Linked DNA regions of Arabidopsis thaliana. The protein of the gene in region 1 interacts with the protein of each later gene in a pairwise test. Each region holds a gene or a part of one and is shown in the gene's direction. Other genes may lie near its edges.

What was found.
Region 2: the proteins of RABA5b (region 1) and REP interact in a two-hybrid assay, tested with the Arabidopsis thaliana proteins (one large-scale study listed by BioGRID).

What each region holds. Positions count from the first base shown.
Region 1 is NC_003074.8:2,371,493-2,375,246, reverse strand, and holds RABA5b (RAB GTPase homolog A5B), read left to right. Parts: upstream 1-1,690; 5' UTR 1,691-1,764; coding exon 1,765-2,098; intron 2,099-2,442; coding exon 2,443-2,762; 3' UTR 2,763-2,930; downstream 2,931-3,754. Other genes in the region: NS2 (asparaginyl-tRNA synthetase 2), read left to right, coding at 1-131, 217-402, 482-546, 620-749, 826-1,068; AT3G07400 (lipase class 3 family protein), read right to left, coding at 3,009-3,182, 3,290-3,754. UniProt on the Arabidopsis thaliana protein: Intracellular vesicle trafficking and protein transport.
Region 2 is NC_003074.8:2,035,484-2,039,407, reverse strand, and holds the start of REP (Rab escort protein), read left to right. Parts: upstream 1-1,616; 5' UTR 1,617-1,745; coding exon 1,746-2,461; intron 2,462-2,581; coding exon 2,582-2,704; intron 2,705-2,819; coding exon 2,820-2,919; intron 2,920-3,004; coding exon 3,005-3,043; intron 3,044-3,127; coding exon 3,128-3,380; intron 3,381-3,481; coding exon 3,482-3,557; intron 3,558-3,663; coding exon 3,664-3,856; intron 3,857-3,924. Other genes in the region: AT3G06545 (uncharacterized protein), read right to left, coding at 431-507, 598-1,096. UniProt on the Arabidopsis thaliana protein: Substrate-binding subunit of the Rab geranylgeranyltransferase (GGTase) complex. Binds unprenylated Rab proteins and presents the substrate peptide to the catalytic component composed of the alpha subunit RGTA and the beta subunit RGTB.

The sequences.
Region 1 (3,754 bases):
AGAGCTATGCTTCTGCACTTGGAAAAGTTTATACCTTTGGACCAAGATTCATAGCTGATAAAATTGACAATGCAAGGCATTTGGCAGAGAAGTGGAATGTGGAAACCGAAATGGCTTTCGCGGAATTGGATGTAAGATTCTTATAACACTGATTTTCGGTAGATGCTATTCAATGATATTTAACAAATGGTAACTTGTTTCGTTTGACTGTTACAGGATGCTATGGATTGTGCTGATGAATACTTCAAGTTCCTCTGCAAATATGTTCTGGAAAATCGCGATGAAGACATGAAATTCATATCAAAACGAGTTGACAAGACCATCACCACACGTCTCGAAGCAACAGCATCCAGCTCCCTTTTGAGATTCTCCTATACCGAAGTGATTAGTCTTCTGCAAAAGGTAAATCACTCTCAAATCCCATACAGTTCCTATATGCTGGTGTGTTGCTATACCATAATGATCTGATTCTCTAAAACAGGCAACCACTACAAAATTTGAAACCAAGCCTGAGTGGGGAGTTGCTTTAACAACAGAGCATCTAAGGTATTGTTTTTGCCAATTGAGTCTTTGTTTCAAGATCCGATTTAAATTCTCTGTGTATCGTTCAATGTTGCAGTTATCTGACTGATGAGATCTACAAAGGTCCTGTAATTGTACATACCTACCCGAAAGCAATTAAACAGTTTTACGTAAGGTTGAATGATGATAAGAAGACTGTAGCAGCGTTTGATCTGGTCGTACCAAAGGTAAGAACTGAACCAAACAACACTTTTATCAAAAATTAGGACGTTGCAGGGTCAAAAGTCTTCACGTTTTTTACAGGTTGGTGTTGTGATCACCGGGAGCCAAAACGAAGAACGGTTTGAGATTCTGGATGCGAGGATCGGGGAATCCGGATTCACGAGGGAGAAGTTCGAGTGGTACTTAGATTTAAGGAGGCATGGGACAGTGAAACATTCAGGAATAAGCCTAAGCATGGAACAAATGCTTCTGTATGCGACCGGGCTTCCTGATATCAAAGATGCCATTCCTTTCCCAAGAAGTTGGGGCAAAGCAAACAATTAAAGCAGCCTCAAGCTATTTATGTACAAACTTGAAGTTACATTGTTGTGTATTCTCTGTAACCATACTTGGGTGTGAAATAATAAGGAACCCCTATACCAAATTGTTCATAATCCTATACCAAGTTTTAGTATATTTGTATTGATAACATATCTACTCAAAATTGTACTCACTGCGACTAGATTTGATGTTCTATAGTTGATTCAAAAATAGTTATCCAGCCACACAATTTCTGTGTGATTCCCTCACTAGTCAATTTTGTGTAGTCAGATGTATAAAACTGGCTGGTAGCAGTTTTTGACTCTTTCTTTCTTTCTTTTTTGATAAAGGTTTTTGTAAGCTTTTGAAATATAGTTTGAATTTTGAATATGGTGGTTGAAATAAATATGAGGAAACTATGGAAATGTAGTTGAGAAATGTATATTTTTTTCTTCATTTAATAGAAACTTATTTTCAGAAAATTAAATGTTATCTAGCAAATTTTAAGAGGATTAGGTGTTTTCGAATTTTAGCAAAATTAAAAAAGCCTAAACTTTGGCACTAATCAAAATCTTTAAACGTAATTAATTAAGAATTTAATGAGTTTGTCTATAGGAAACCCCGCCAATCACGCAGCTTGTCTGTCACCACTTTACCACTTATCAAAGCTTCTTCAAAGCTTGCAAAAAATTCTCCACAGTCTCGAAGAAGTAGAAGAAGATGGGTAAGGAAGATGACCGAGGAGAAGAGTACCTGTTCAAGATTGTCCTAATCGGCGATTCCGCTGTCGGAAAATCGAACTTGCTGTCTCGATTTTCGCGGGATGAGTTCGACACGAACTCAAAAGCGACAATCGGAGTGGAATTTCAGACGCAGCTGGTTGAAATCGAAGGGAAAGAAGTGAAAGCTCAGATCTGGGACACTGCTGGTCAAGAGAGGTTTAGAGCTGTCACTTCTGCTTATTACAGAGGTGCTTTTGGTGCTCTCATCGTTTATGACATCACTCGAGGTGACACTTTCGAAAGCGTTAAACGTTGGCTCCAGGAACTCAACAGTAAGTCTTCTTCCCTTCTCACTCTTTTCTCTGAGGAAATCTGTTGATGTCGTTGAGCACCATTGATGGATTCTATAAATGACTAAGGTGCTCTTATTCTCTCTCTGTTTTGGAACAATCTTTTGGAGTTTGTGAATCCAAACACTTAGAATTGATCACCATTAGTGGATTCTGCTGCTATGAATCTGGGTCATTCTTCATTGATTCTATTTTTAGCTTGAGGCAGTGAGAGGTGATTGGTTTCACTGAGCTGAGAAGATACTCTGTTTTGTTCCTCAAGTTTAAGATTATTTGTTTGTGAATTCAAGACAAATCCCTAACACTTTGTTTTGTTACCTCGCAAGCTCATTGTGACACGGCAGTGGCACAAATGCTAGTTGGGAATAAATGCGATTTGGAGGATATAAGAGCGGTGAGTGTGGAGGAAGGGAAAGCTCTTGCGGAGGAAGAAGGATTGTTCTTTATGGAAACATCGGCTCTGGACGCCACAAATGTAGACAAAGCCTTTGAGATCGTTATCAGAGAGATCTTCAACAATGTCAGCCGCAAACTTCTCAACTCTGATGCTTACAAAGCAGAGCTTTCCGTTAACCGGGTCAGCCTTGTCAACAACCAAGATGGCTCCGAGAGCTCTTGGCGGAATCCGTCTTGTTGCTCCCGATGATTTCAATCAATCTTGTTTTTACCAGAGAAAGCTTTATAAGGTTATAATTATCATTTATGAAGTCAGACTTATAATAAGATACTTGCAATCTGTTTTGTCTTGATACTACACATTGGTTCTGGCCGAGGGATTAAACAAAAATGACCTGACCGAATAGAGAAAATGGCGAAAACATGAACTTTAGTGGGAGTTATGTACATAGAAAAATATATAACATTAACAGATGGAATGGTTGATCAAGTACAATCAGGGTTTTCGTAAAGCGGAACCAGCACCCATTACTACTGCCAAGACAAGGCCAAGACCAGCTCCAAGTGAAGCACCTACAGCTGCTGCTGACATTGATGATGACTTGGCCTGTGAACCATCTACGACACGGTCTTTGGCTAGTTCCACCAGCAGTCTGTCTCTAGCAAGTTCCTGAAAGTTTAATGGAGAGATATAAAATTGAAGTGACTTGGGCATTACAACGACATCAATATCATTATTTTCATTAAGCACTGAATCAGGTAAGAGAGTAATAATACCTCAAAGCAAGCTTCTTCTTGAGTTTGAAGGACACGATGGACAAGCTCGCAAAGAGAATTCACACCATCCACTGGAAAAACAGTGTCTTTTCTCTGAAACGGCTTTTTGACAAGGTCGAGTGGAGCGAATATCATCTTCGGTACGCCTACTGATCCGTCATTTCCCGCATTCACAGCTGCCCAAGGCAATGAGGAAGTTCCAGAGCCAGAAATAATATAAGGGATAGAGTTGACAATTCCGGTTGTGTTTGGAGACGCTTGGTATGCCTGAAGTACAGCTTCGATAGCGGATTTCTGCTGATGGGCACTGACTGAGAACTTGTTTGTTATGGCGAGGACCCAAGGGATACCAAGAGATTTAACCTCATCTAACAGAAGAGCAAGTGCTGGTTGCTGTTGCTGCAGTAGTGTTGTTGAGTTTTGGTAACGTGGTATTCTGTGAGAGAGATTGTGCACAAGAATAAT
Region 2 (3,924 bases), 340 kb from region 1:
TGCATACACAAAGCGAGGACGAATGTCATCCTCTCATATTCGATTGAACCATCTCACGTTTTATTATTTCACTGGAAACAAACAGGTGTGAAGCACTTCTGAACCGGACCAGAGTGGACTATTCGAATGAATTCATAGGAGTTGAACTACGCGATATGGTAGATATACGAAGATAGAAATCAGAGGTAGATGCATACAATGTTGCTGTAATGTCATCTTTCTGTATATTTATTTATGAATAAGGTGTTCTTTCTTGTTTATTTGTGTTTCTGTTCACGATGATGTTAAGACTTATTATTGTCTATTACAAGTTAAAGGAAATCCATATGAGTAATTGTATAGCTATAAAATCCAGATTAATCTTACATCAAAGTAAAATATGATGGACTTGCAAAAGCCATTACTTTAATGTAAGGAAACATTGATATACTTAGATAGAAAGTGTAGTCATAGCATGTGTGTCAAGCTTGTCCTCTATTGCTCGGTAGGCAGAGAAAGTGTCCGAGTCTTCCCATTTGGAGAAATTATACGCGGGCCCAAAGGAAAGCAAAAAATGAGGTACTGATATTAAAAACAATAACAGTACCTTATAGTCACCCCGGTATAGATTGTTAGACATGCTAAAGAGACAAGATAACCAACCGAGGAAGAGCGTGTACAAAGCATGTCCGATCTCCATCCTAAACTTATCCGATAGCTGAATCAGCCCTAACCCTCCGGTGAACAACGAGATGGTGAATAACGACATGGACAATTCAAACTCTTTGTTTGTCAATAGCTCATATATTAAGGGCAATGCCAACGCTAAATTTGCGGAAAATGTCGAAAACAAAACCTGAGGTACTCTCTCCAACTTTGTAGTAAACTCCTTGTAGCAAGCGGAAGGAGGAGCGGTGAAAAAAAGATATCTGAGTAGCGTCACTGCGTAGAATGTTGTGACACTGACCGCACCGTCCCTAAAGGACTGAGACGATGAATCTCCAGGTGGCCAGAGAAGATTGAGTGATTTGGAGAGGCCAAAAAGTGAGAGTAGAGTCATTATATACCATATTCCTCTGCAAACAAACACATCCATATCACTAATCTTCTTCTCCATCGTGTGTGTGTTTTTACTAGGACTATGGGGTTTCGGAGATTTAATAGTCGTCGTGAATTCGTTTTTCGATTTCTTTTATTTAGTTAGTTAAATCTGCTTTTATCCAGAAGAATGTGGTATATCTCTATTATTAGTTAAAAGTGGTTAGAAGATTTTCATAATCACAACAAACAAAAGAAATCTTCGCAATCTTTATCTAACACTTTTTTTTTTCAAGATATATAAAATTCTTTTATATTCAACAAAGAAAATAGTTCAAAAAATCACATTATAAGTGGACCACTGACCAGTAAAGTGAACGAAGAAAGTATAAACTCTATTTTCTTCAATTAAACCGTTTATATAAAAAAAAAAATCATATTTTAAGTTTCTAACATAAGAAAAACAGTAGACCCTATAGTCTATGCGTTGATTAAGAAGATGGGCCATGTTGGGCCGATTCACACTTACCTCTTTTATTCATTTACATCTTAGGCCCATTACGTTTGTATATGTAATGTAAGAAGAAACTTCTTCTTCTCTTGAACCTCTTCCTCGATTCTCCTCACTCATCTCAACATCTTCCCAGATTATTCAACGCTCGTGTATCGATCAAGCTACTGAAGTCACGTTGGTTCGACTTTTGATACACAAATCTGTTCGAGCCACCATGATCGACATCCCTCCTTACCCGCCGCTTGATCCTTCCAACTACGATCTCATTGTCGTCGGCACCGGAGTCTCTGAGTCCGTCTTAGCCGCCGCTGCTTCCTCCTCCGGTAGTTCTGTTCTCCACCTCGACCCTAACCCCTTCTACGGCTCTCACTTCGCCTCTCTTTCCCTTCCCGATCTCACTTCTTTCCTTCACTCAAACTCCGTTTCTCCTCCTCCGTCGCCGTCATCTCCTCCTCTCCCTCCGTCAAACAACCATGATTTTATCTCCGTGGATCTCGTTAACCGATCCTTGTATTCCTCCGTGGAGATTTCGAGCTTCGAATCGGAGATCCTCGAAGAACACTCTAGAAGATTCAACGTTGACTTGGCTGGTCCTAGGGTTGTCTTCTGTGCCGATGAATCAATTAATCTCATGCTGAAATCAGGAGCTAACAACTACGTTGAGTTCAAGAGCATCGATGCCAGCTTCGTTGGGGATTCGAGCGGTGAGCTACGAAATGTGCCGGATTCGAGAGCTGCTATATTCAAGGACAAGAGCTTGACTCTGTTGGAGAAGAATCAGCTCATGAAATTCTTCAAGCTTGTTCAAAGTCACTTGGCTTCTTCTACCGAAAAAGATGATTCAACAACAGTCAAGATATCGGAGGAAGATATGGAGAGTCCATTTGTGGACTTCTTGTCAAAGATGCGTTTACCACCCAAAATCAAATCGTATAACCTCCTTCTCTGTTAATGGCAGCTCTTTGGACATTTGTCTCTGCTTAATGCTTCTTAGAATTTTGTCTCTGAAATGTTGATAGGTAAGGCTTTGTTTCCTCTTCTTCTGTGTAGGATCATCTTGTATGCCATTGCGATGCTAGATTATGATCAAGACAATACGGAAACTTGTAGACATTTACTCAAGACCAAAGAGGGGATAGATCGATTGGCTCTATACATCACATCTATGGGCAGGTCATTCATCATTTTCTCATTCCTGGCTCTTACACATTTGTGATCATCTTTCTTATTGGTTTACATTATCATTGGTTATATTGAGTATAATTTAGCTTTTGATTCTCTACCTTAGGTTTTCTAACGCACTTGGGGCGTTGATATACCCAATTTATGGACAAGGAGAACTTCCACAAGCCTTTTGTCGTCGGGCTGCTGTCAAAGGATGTATCTATGTACGTTTGGAACAATTTTCTGCATTGTGTACTGTGTTGCTGTTGTGGTATTTGTTACTTATTTAGTCTTTCATTGTTTTCACAGGTTCTCCGGATGCCTATTACTGCTCTGCTTTTAGACAAGGCAAGTTAGCTGACAGTTGTAGCATAAGATAAGTTTAGTTGACGGAAAGGATTCTTACTTGATTATTTTAAACTCTTTTTGCAGGAAACTGGGGGTTACAAAGGGGTTAGATTAGCTTCTGGTCAAGAGATATTCAGCCAAAAGTTGATTCTGGATCCATGTGTTACTGTTGGATTAGAGTCTCTGTCGTCATTGACAGATCAGCAAAATGAAACTCTCAGTGTTCTTGTCCCAAAGTCGATGATCAATAAGGAGAAAATTGCAAGAGGAGTATGCGTCATTAGAGGTTCTGTGAAAGCTAATGTATCAAACGCTCTTGTCGTTTATCCACCTAAATGTAAGCTAATTTTTGAAGACCCACTAGTTAGTTGTTTCACTTACATGTATATCGTCTTTTGCGTTTTGAAGGTTCTAACATTAATAGTTTTTTCCTCTTAGCTTTGTTTCCAGAACAGCTAACTGCAATTCGGGTTCTGCAGCTTGGTAGTGGTTTAGCGGTTTGTCCTGCTGACATGTAAGTTGTGGTTTAGCCTAAGATGATCTTTTCCCATTTTAGTTCTGTTTCTTTCCATTTGCTTAGCTTTAACTGTTCTCTAAGCCATATATATTTGCTGCTGCAGGCATGTTTTATATCTTTCAACTTTGTGCGACAATGATGACCAAGGGATAAAGGCGCTATTATCAGCCATGAGTAATCTCATCAGTTTGCCTGTTCCCGAGAATCGTCAAAGCGATTCCGTTGTTGAGAATGATACTTCTGAGACAAAACCTATTCTACTCTGGAGAGCACTGTACGTGCAAGAGCTAGTCAAGGTGGAAAATGTGATTGGGAATTTACCTTTTCATTTCGACGTTGGTAATGTCATTTTCACTAAATAAAA